Linked DNA regions of Drosophila melanogaster. The protein of the gene in region 3 interacts with the protein of the main gene of each other region in a pairwise test. Each region holds a gene or a part of one and is shown on either strand. Other genes may lie near its edges.

Region 1 (3,177 bases), about 15 Mb from region 3:
GCTACTTGCTCCTTGGGTTGGTGCTGTCTCATGCCAGCTTTGCAACTGCCACAAATGGAGTTATTCCAGCAGTGATTCCGGCAGTGCCCGCTACTGTTCCTCGCCTGGTTCCCGTGGCCACCAGCCATCAGTTTGTCACTCGAAACTGGAATCGAGTTTTCGTGCCCCCCGCCACGGTGGCCACTTATCCCAACACCTATGTTAAGTACAGCGGTGGCTATCCGGCGTATCCCGCCTACAATTACCCATACGCCACCACCTATCCGTACACCTATCCCTACTACTATCCCACTTATAACGTTGGATATGGTTACAAGGGTGTCTGGTGATCTGCAACGGACATAGCCTACCTTTAATACATTGTGATAACACTCGATACCAAATGATATTATATTATGATATATATGACAAATTTAATCAAAAACTTATTTCATATTAGATTCATACAACAAATTGTATAAAATATATATATATATATATAGAGAGACAATCTCGATATTATAAATAAATGTTTCTTTGTCCATTTATTGAACATGCTCATTCAATTCGATTATTTGTTATTAAGGAATATCACACCTGTATACACTGTACTTGGCACGTCGCCAAAAAAGCAACAGTTTAGCCATATACCGACTTAATAGTGACACAATGATTGTGGTTAACCAACTTGTACTTTTATTTTTGAATAACACGACAAAATAAGGAACAATTTCAATGCTTTCTAAAAGAAAAATGGTGCTGCCACTGCAGGAGCAAGGAAACGAGTTGGCTGAATGAGTCGGGCGCCAGTTGCAGGGAATGGAGCAGTAGCCAGGATGCGGGCAGGAGCAGTCGGAGCAAAGGCGGCATTAAACTGGTTAAAGTAGTCCAAGCGCTGGCTGCTGGATACGGCCAGGGGAGATGCACCCAAAGGATTAACCAAAGGAGCGCCAGCAAAGGGACCAGCAGCATAGGCGCCAGCAAAAGGTCCACCTGATCCTGGATAGAGTCCGAAAGTAGAGGCCGAAGGAAACAGTGCTGGATCCACAGCTGGCTTGGCTGCCACACTGGCCAGCAGTCCCAGGGATACGAGAATCAACTGAAAACAGAAAAGAGCCAAATCTTACAAAATCCTTGCCAAAGAATTTGCTTACCATTTGCTGCATTTCAAAAGAGATTGCTGCTGCCACAAGATCCAAAAACTGAATATGCATTGGCTTGGATCGACTCAAAGGTTTTATAGTTATTGTGGGCGTAGAAGACCACAGCTGGCCTGGCTAATTGGCGCTCCAAATTGTCAAACACTTGGCTCCAAAAGCGGCCTAAATGGCAGGTGCTGGCAGAGCAGCCAACCGCCACCCATTTGCATACGATCCGATATGGCTATATATGTTGGCTATGTATGTTGCCACACAAAATTCAGTAATCAAAAGTTTGGAAACGACTTGACTTGTCCAAATAAATGAAACCATTTGTAATATGCTTCTCACAGTTTAATTAATAGAACAAAATGACGGGACAAAAACCAATTTTTACATCCCCTACACAAAGGGACTTGACAATAACTATCGTATTCGTATAATTGCATTACATATATATGTATAAGAATAGGTTCGTATGTATAATTATCGTATATTATTTAGCTGTTTGGGAGTTACTTGATCGTTCAGTTTCAGTTGCTTGTTCAGTTACGTATAAATATATAGTTATGTATAATATATAGTCAAATCATAAAAACACATTGCCGTGGAATTAAACTAATTAGTCGTTAGTTAACTATGTAATCAAACAATCATACAAATTATGCTTGTAGTATGCAAAAACATAAACGTACCCTAGGAATATATGTGGTATTGTATGCTAGCACAATGGTTGCACTTTGGATAATTCGATATATATGGAATAGACGACATCTAGCATAGGCAATTAATTAGTTGCTTTCGATTTGCGGATCGATTGATGATTCGGGGCGGGGGCGTGAGTATTTCGTTATTTGACGAGTGGGGAGTAGCTTTAACAAACACTTGTTCTCGTTTAAGTTTTCTCTATGGCTTGCTTGGAATCGACTGCTGGATAAATCTATATATACAATCTGGCTTTGGAATAGGATCAGAGCTGTGTGATGTTTTGGCTTGGGCAGAACTGGGAGTAAGAGGGAACTCTACAGTCCTCGTTGGAGTGTTACGATATTGCAAGTTTAAATGGCGATTGAGTTGACTAGATATATGTGGCGAATTAAATATCGTATGGTTTCTTTATTTCTCTCTCTTCTCTAAGACTGCTCCTCATCTTCCCAATCCGCCAATCCTACCACAGCACATCATAATCGTACACATGCTCCGAGGACGCAATAATCAGACACTTTAGAAAGTCATCTAGGGTGCGCTTGAGTTTCCACTTTTTCGGCTTCCTCAGCAGCTGCTGCAGCGGCTTCGACTTGACCTTTGGCTCATGCCAGGGACTTGTAGATGTGGCGATGGATTTCTTCATCGGCTGATTCACTTGCTCCTGCAACTGCTGGACTGGCAAGTTGCAGTAAACATGGCGATTCAAGCTCTGTCGCAGGCTGTGCAGTCGCTGCTGCTGATAGTAGTGATTGAGATTGGCCAGAAATGAAAAGTCCGTGTCGTTGACCACATCGATCTCCGCATAGTTGTGGTTATCGATGTCCGGATCCGGTCGCTGCCCCGATGCCTTGGCAAACAGTTGGTCAAATCACATGTTTTCATCGAACTTTGCAAAGTTCGCGTCCTCGCTCCACTGAAATTTGCCGCCCTCAGTGTCATCATTGTGCTGATCCATGGCCTGTTCCTGGTCTGGTGATTTAAAGAACTCGTCATCCTCGAAGGGATCCTCCTGCTTTTTGGCAAATATGTTTACCGACTCGGATTTCTTGATGAGCTCCTGGCGCTGCTGCAGCTTGCTGGTTCGCATATTTTGCTTCCTGCTCATAGCACCAGATCCTCCGGCACCTGCTGTGGCAGAACCCGCTTGTTCCTTTTCAAAATCGAATGATGCCTTGGCGAAGTCATCCTCAAAGGCAGCATCATCGAATTGGGAGACCTTAACATTATCGTCAAATCGCAGTTTTTGCGTAATTGGTGGTGTTGAGGTTGGCGGTGTATCCATCTCAAACTGCTCCCGTTTCTCGCGATCCGAAAAATCATTGGAGAAGCGGAACAGGCTCTTCGATCCGCC
Region 2 (3,150 bases), about 21 Mb from region 3:
TGTGGTGTGCCTTTGTTTTGTGTTTTGCGAGACTATTGGTCGGTCGGTCGAATTTGGACTTGGCTAACGGCCGGGAACTATCGGCAGACCGATACAATTTTGCCCCCCTTACTATCGTGCACCTTACAACACTGTCCATAGCTATCGATAAGGCGCCAAGAATGCACATGGATCAAACTTTGTCGATTTGTTATCACGAAGCAAAAAATATTTTTCGGTATATGGTTATATATGGGATCACAGCCTCAAGGCTTTTTTATAACTATTAAAACGACCAGATATGCGTACGTAGTTATTGACTCAAAGCTAAAAGCTGAGAAAAGGATCTAATGATCCCACAAAGAGTCATGGCAGCATAAACTTGGCGGAACATACATAGGGTCAAATGTGCTAAAAGACATACAAATTATCACATCAGTTCCGGGAGCTAATAAAATTATGGTGGTATACATGAAGGCACTAGTTAGGTGTACAATTTTTTACCAGGTACACTAGTTTTGGACACGTCATAAGAATAAGTCTTGACTTATAGAACATAAATATCATATTTATTAGCACTAACACACTTATGGGGTAGGATGACTTAACCGTATACCTATCACTAAACTATATCAGGTTTCGCGCTTCCTAGCCGTAGTATCCGCTTCCACCCGCACTGGCTGTTGCGAATCCTCCACTGCTGCTGGCGTAGGCCACGTCTAGAGGAAGAAACAGGTCCAAAACACTTGTAGATTACTTGTGTGCTAGGCACCGAGGTGCTATCAGTCGGGAAACTCACTCATGCCATTGCCGCCGTAGGGATATCCTCCATAGGGGTATCCGTACTGCCCGTATCCACCGTACATCGAGTACGGGTTGTAGCCGGGATACGAGTAGTACGGATATCCGCCGTAGCTGTAGGGGTATCCGTACATGCCGCTGCCGTATATGTTCCCGTATCCCGATCCCGCTCCCGCATTAGCGCCGCCGTAATAGGGATAACCGTAGTATTGGCTCGCGGATGGCTGCAGGAAAATGGCGACCAGGAGCAAACCGAACCAACAACATGGAGAGCGGCTCGACTGTTTCACTGACATGATTTTTCTGGCCATGTTTATCGTGTGTAATCCTCGAACGTTGACTGAATGCAAAAACCCCGGCATTAACTGATTTTATAGAGTTTGCCGCCGAATGTTTGCAATTTTAAAGCATAAAACGCTTTTTTAATGGAGCTTAATCGGGCGCCCATCAGCGGCTGCTCGGTTTGCTCGTTCGTGCGTAACCCAGCCGGCGTATACGCAATATTTTTAAATCCCAATATAAACGCTCTGCAAACGTATGTATTTAGTGCAAGTTAACAACAAGAGAACAAAACAAAACAAAACTATTTGGCTCTTTTTTGCCTATCGCCGCGATTACTCATCCCACATCTCGTCTGATTTGTGATTGCCGTTTTGCTATCAATTTAAATTAGTCAGTCAGCCGCTTTTTTTGCCAGGGGTTCACATTTATTCTGCGTAAACACAGTCATTAACCTTAAAATTGGTTGATGGTCCGCCTAGTCATGTGCGATGCCAGTGGTGCTTTCCACTTCTTTGAGGTTCATTGCCGACCTGGACCGTGGTCAATGCTCATTCACGCCCTTCGGATGAGGTCAACCGTAATAACTCCGATTCTGATAATTGGAATCGTATTGGTTTTCGGATTTTCCACTGCGATCAGCTTGGTCGTTGGCCGAGAGTTCAGTTTGAGGGACTTTTGGCTACAGAATTTTGGCCTTGGTGGTCATGCATCGACGCTGAAACTATTCCACAATGCGAATCTGTCGGTTTGGAAAGTGATACTTGAGAACTGCATAATGGAAAGTTCAATGTACTTATAGATTAATTTATTCTTCTTGGCTATGAAAGTAGGCTTACAACTTAGTAATTTAGTGATGTTAGATACGGTGGGTTTACACATCTCGCATAGTAAATAAGCTTTTAAAAATGTGAAAAACGCAAGTCGTGGGCAATTGCAAGGAATTGTTCTCAATACACTTTGTAGCTCTTGCATATGTGCCCGAAAAGTATACAACATGCCATTCATAAATATTTAAGGCCTTTCCCGTACCCAACTCATTCGTGTTCGTGTAGGTGTGTGTCATTACACTGGCCAACAATGCAAAATGTCACAATTGGAATTGTCCCGCCTTTGGGTTCCCATGCAGCTGACGTTTGCCTTCCGCCGCCCGCTCACTCACTCTCTCTCTCTCTCACTCTCTCTGCCGGGGTGGTTTCTGACTCTCTCTTCTTTGCCGCACTACTCCAGGTAGCTCAGGTAGGTTTGAGCCTCGTAGGTGTTGCATTCCCGCTGACCTCCAGTAGTTGAGTGAGTTGCTCCGGCCGGATGCCGACTACGCATGCTCAAGCCTGGATGTGCACGGATTTCGGGACACCCTATATTAAAGTAGCCTCAGTTGTTTGAGCCGAGTGACTTGCTCATAAATTCGGCTTGGTAATTTGTGTACTATTTAAAAGGGTTTCATAAAAAGATTGTAATTGAGATCTTGTGCAAATAAATTAAGCTTAAAACTATTATCAAATAATAATATATTTTACAATGACCCAAAATAATATTACATATAATGCATAGTGAACACGCCTTATATTCTTAAAAAAAATGTGTGTCTGTAAGTTTTATTTATAAGAAGGAAATTATGGTTATATTACGACTTTGAAATTCTATCTCTCGACATTAAAAATGCCTCCTTGAAAGTTAACATTCTAGAAAGGGTACGCTTCCCCAGTCCCCAATTTAAGGACTTAATTTTCCAAACCCCAAACGAGCAATTTTCATATTAAAAAGTTTGTCTATGCCGAGCCTAACTCCCGTCCCCACTTTCCGATGGAAAAATTGAAAGCTATCCCTTACAAAACTTCTACAAACTTTTCATTCATTTACCCTCATACTTTCGCATCATATTTGGGACAGTAAAATGCTAATTGTTTGTCCGAAACGAAAGAAACCTCCTTGTAGCCATCAATTTTTCAGCATTCTTACGTGTAATTAATTAAAAATTTGATGCAGCAGCAACTTTTGTTTGCTGTCGAAATTACAGCAGCAACAAAAAGCTAATTAAAACTTAAAATCATATAGGAGTGCAACTGGAGCCGTGCCGTGACCCACAGA
Region 3 (3,355 bases):
TCGATCTCTGCCGGGATCGGGCATTCCTCGGACGTTTGGCCGTGCGGGTGCACACATAGCAGCATATTCTCCAGTACAGAAACCTATATTGGAATATATGTATGAAAACATACTCATTTAGTTCTCAGCTCATCGATGTCAACTCACCGAAATGATGTGGCCATGACATCGCCAATGTTGGACAAGCAGATGAGCATCAGCGGAATGCCCACAATGGCGTAGAAAATCGTTGTCACCTTGCCCCAATCCGTACGCGGCGATATGTGACCATAGCCTGTCCAGAGAATGACAAGGAACACATAATTACTCTTTCGCAGATAGGTAAGATTGATTTTGAGTCACCTTTCACCTTCAACCTCGTGACCGCAAAGTTCTTGAAATACTAATGAATCTAAGACCCGCTAAGGCCCAATCCCCAATCCATATGTACTTCTTTTTGTTCATGCCAAGCCCATTATCGCTTCGAAATAGCAAACATGGCATTTCAAGTCTGCCGCTTTTGGCCTTTACGGAAGTGTGCAAATTCGTAGATAGCATTCTGTGCCCCTCTTCGCGGGGTTCTATCTGATGGGCGTCGGTCACTAAACCCATTTGTGTGCTAGCCGTAAATCCATATCGGGGAAAAGTGCAGACGAAAAGCGTAAAACTAAGCTCCCATCATCAACAGCCAGAGCTAATAAACTGATTTATACCAAATACTTCCACTCGAAAGCCGAAAAGTTGAATGCTCTAAGTGGGTTAAAGTGAAAAAGGTTTCTGTATACTTTTAAAGTAGGAGAGTTTATAGAGTTCTTGGGGTTTGCTTAAGGCCTTCGATTGAAAACCTTCCATGCACCACTTCCCCTTTTATGAGTAATCACTAATCACCAACACCCCCTGTGTGTTAGGGTATACTAATAATGAGAAATTCCCATCGTTAAAATCTAAAAATCTGAAATGCCAGAAAAGATAATCACGATCGGTCAGTGGCGTTTGACCTTGCTGTTGTTTTGACCACAAACAATTGGATGGCAGCAATCCACTTTTGGTTTCATTTGACACGCTCCACACACCCTCGCTCCCTTTGAAAGCCATCACCACCCGAATGAACCCATTTTTAGAGGTCAACCACGTGCTGGCTGCTCACCTGACTGTGTCCGAGCTGAATCTTTGACTTGTGACTCCCGCCCTGCAAAGGAAGCAAGCATATGTTTTCCAACTCATGGAAATTCCCAGGAATAAGCTTTTAGGTCGATCGGTGGTGGTCAATTACCGTGATTTATGCGATTTCAACGTGATCGCTGTGTGGACAAAACCAATTGTCCGACTCATCCGCTTGCCTCATTGGTTCCTGGGCGGATTGCGGTCTGGTCGCGCTTCAGGTGAATCAACGTGGGCCAAGACTTGGGCCACAGATCTCTGAAGATTTCTGTCTGGCACGATCGTTGATTCATTGGTCGGGCAGCCGCCGAATGCGAATACCTGCGGCTGCCCTCGTCGCTTGACTGAGTTTGTGCGTCGTCATCGCCGCTGATGTCTCTGGCGGTTGTATTTGTTTTTTGGTTCTCGGGTGCGGTTATATAAGTAGTGTGTGCCGGTCGCATTTTCGAACTATTCTGTTGCGGGAGCTTGCCGCGATCAAGCGCAAAAATCGGGTCAGTGTGTAATCGAACAAAGCGTGCCAATCATGCCAAGCTATTGCCTCATCATCGTCCTATGCCTTCTTGGATCAGTGGCGGCTAAGTCTTCGGATGGAGATCGAGATCAGTGGGTCTGGAGGTCCTACAATCGCAGGGAGCGCTCTTTTCGGGACATCAATCGCAGTTCCCCCATAAGGAACTCGTACGACGAAAAGCTGAGGCGGGAGCCCACGACTCGAAGACCTTTTCCGGGCGAACCGGAGAATGATGAGATAGAGGACTATGCCGATGTGGAGCCCACCAGGTCATCGGACACTCCCAACGTAGGCACCCGTCAGTTTAATCCATACGGTGGTCAGACCAATGCCGGACAGTTCGGAGGACTTGGAGGCTATAACGGAAACCCCGGAGTGCTAGTCGGACCTGGCGGACCCACCGGAATCATAGGGAGACCGCAGCTATACCCCACTCCCTATCAGCCAGGCTATGGTGGATTCTCTGGAGCTCAAAATGGCATTAGTGGATATCCAGGCGGATACGGAGGAGTAGGACAGGGACTTCCCGGAGCTGGATTCCCCGGAGCCAGCGTGGGTGGTGGGTTTAACAACTTCCCCAGTAATGGACTTGGCCTCAACCAATTTCCTGGCAATGGGCAATACCCTTACGGCTCCTATCCAGGTGGCGACTTCGGTGGAAGCCAATTCGCGGGCGCAGGTGCCCAGTTCCCAGGATTGGGACAGTACCCAGCAAACCAACAGTTCGGTGGACCTCAGTACACCGAGGGCTATGGTCTGGCAGGAGGACTGGGCTTAGGTCAACTTGGAGTAGGCAACGGTGGACTCGGATACGGTGGAAGTTTTCCACCTCTAGGAGGAGGCTTCGGCTATGACGAGAAATCGCCAGCTGTGGCCGATGGTAAGAGTGCTAAGAGTGTGGCAGCGTCACCCAGAAAAGTGAATGATAAGCTCAGTAAGAAGGTCTAGAGCTTCGTGTTTTAGAAGTGGAAGGTGTTATGTTAAAGATATGGAACTGAAGCTATTACTTTCCCACTCAACCCTCCTTTTTCCCTTAGGCTGAGTTGGAAGTAGTCACCTTAGTGTAGGCATAGTTTACGTATAGACTAAGCAAATAAATTCCCATGTTTACTCACACATGACTTTGAAGAACTCAATCCATAAGCTTAAAAAAAACATACTCACCTATGGTCGTTATCACAATAATCGAGTAGAACAGGGATCCGGCAAAGGTCCACTGGGACTTGCGCAGATCCTCGTCGCCATCCCAGCCGTCGGCCTTGATGGCCGTAAGGATTTGCTTTTCAAAATTGGCCAGGTGCTTGCTGACATTGGCCATCCAATCGCTTTCCCTTAGGACCACTGCGTCGTCGGACAGTAGCCAGATATTCTCCGTGAGATTAACGCGAAGATTCTGTATGTCTCGCTTCACCTGCATGGGGATTTTGGATTTTTAGCATTTGAGACCTTCCAGCAAAATCACCCACTCACCTCTAGTTCGTGGGGTCGTTCGAGATGCTGGAAGAGGTAGGCACCGCCCACGCAATAGGAAACCACGAGAAGCACGAGCAGCACATGGGACACAATGCAGGTGAGCACCTTCCACGAGAAGCAGATGGCAGCTACACAGCGTCCGCGTTGCGGCTTCGCTGGCTCCAACATGTGCGCCGGCAGAGATTGGGCCCGCCTACCCGACATGGTCACCCTCCTCTGGCCTCCTCC

The links.
Region 1: the proteins of CG9192 (region 3) and CG13031 interact in a two-hybrid assay, tested with the Drosophila melanogaster proteins (one large-scale study listed by BioGRID).
Region 2: the proteins of CG9192 (region 3) and CG14563 interact in a two-hybrid assay, tested with the Drosophila melanogaster proteins (one large-scale study listed by BioGRID).

What each region holds. Positions count from the first base shown.
Region 1 is NT_037436.4:16,722,859-16,726,035, reverse strand, and holds CG13031 (uncharacterized protein), read right to left. Parts: upstream 1,176-3,177; 5' UTR 1,146-1,175; coding exon 1,134-1,145; exon of another isoform or gene 1,079-1,133; coding exon 722-1,078; 3' UTR 661-721; downstream 1-660. Other genes in the region: CG13026 (uncharacterized protein), read left to right, coding at 1-329; Dab (disabled), read right to left, coding at 2,695-3,177.
Region 2 is NT_037436.4:21,841,280-21,844,429, forward strand, and holds CG14563 (uncharacterized protein), read right to left. Parts: upstream 1,108-3,150; 5' UTR 1,077-1,107; coding exon 779-1,076; intron 699-778; coding exon 628-698; 3' UTR 529-627; downstream 1-528.
Region 3 is NT_037436.4:1,236,547-1,239,901, reverse strand, and holds CG9192 (uncharacterized protein), read left to right. Parts: upstream 1-1,582; 5' UTR 1,583-1,666; coding exon 1,667-2,602; 3' UTR 2,603-2,769; downstream 2,770-3,355. Other genes in the region: galene, read right to left, coding at 1-83, 148-274, 2,819-3,065, 3,125-3,331.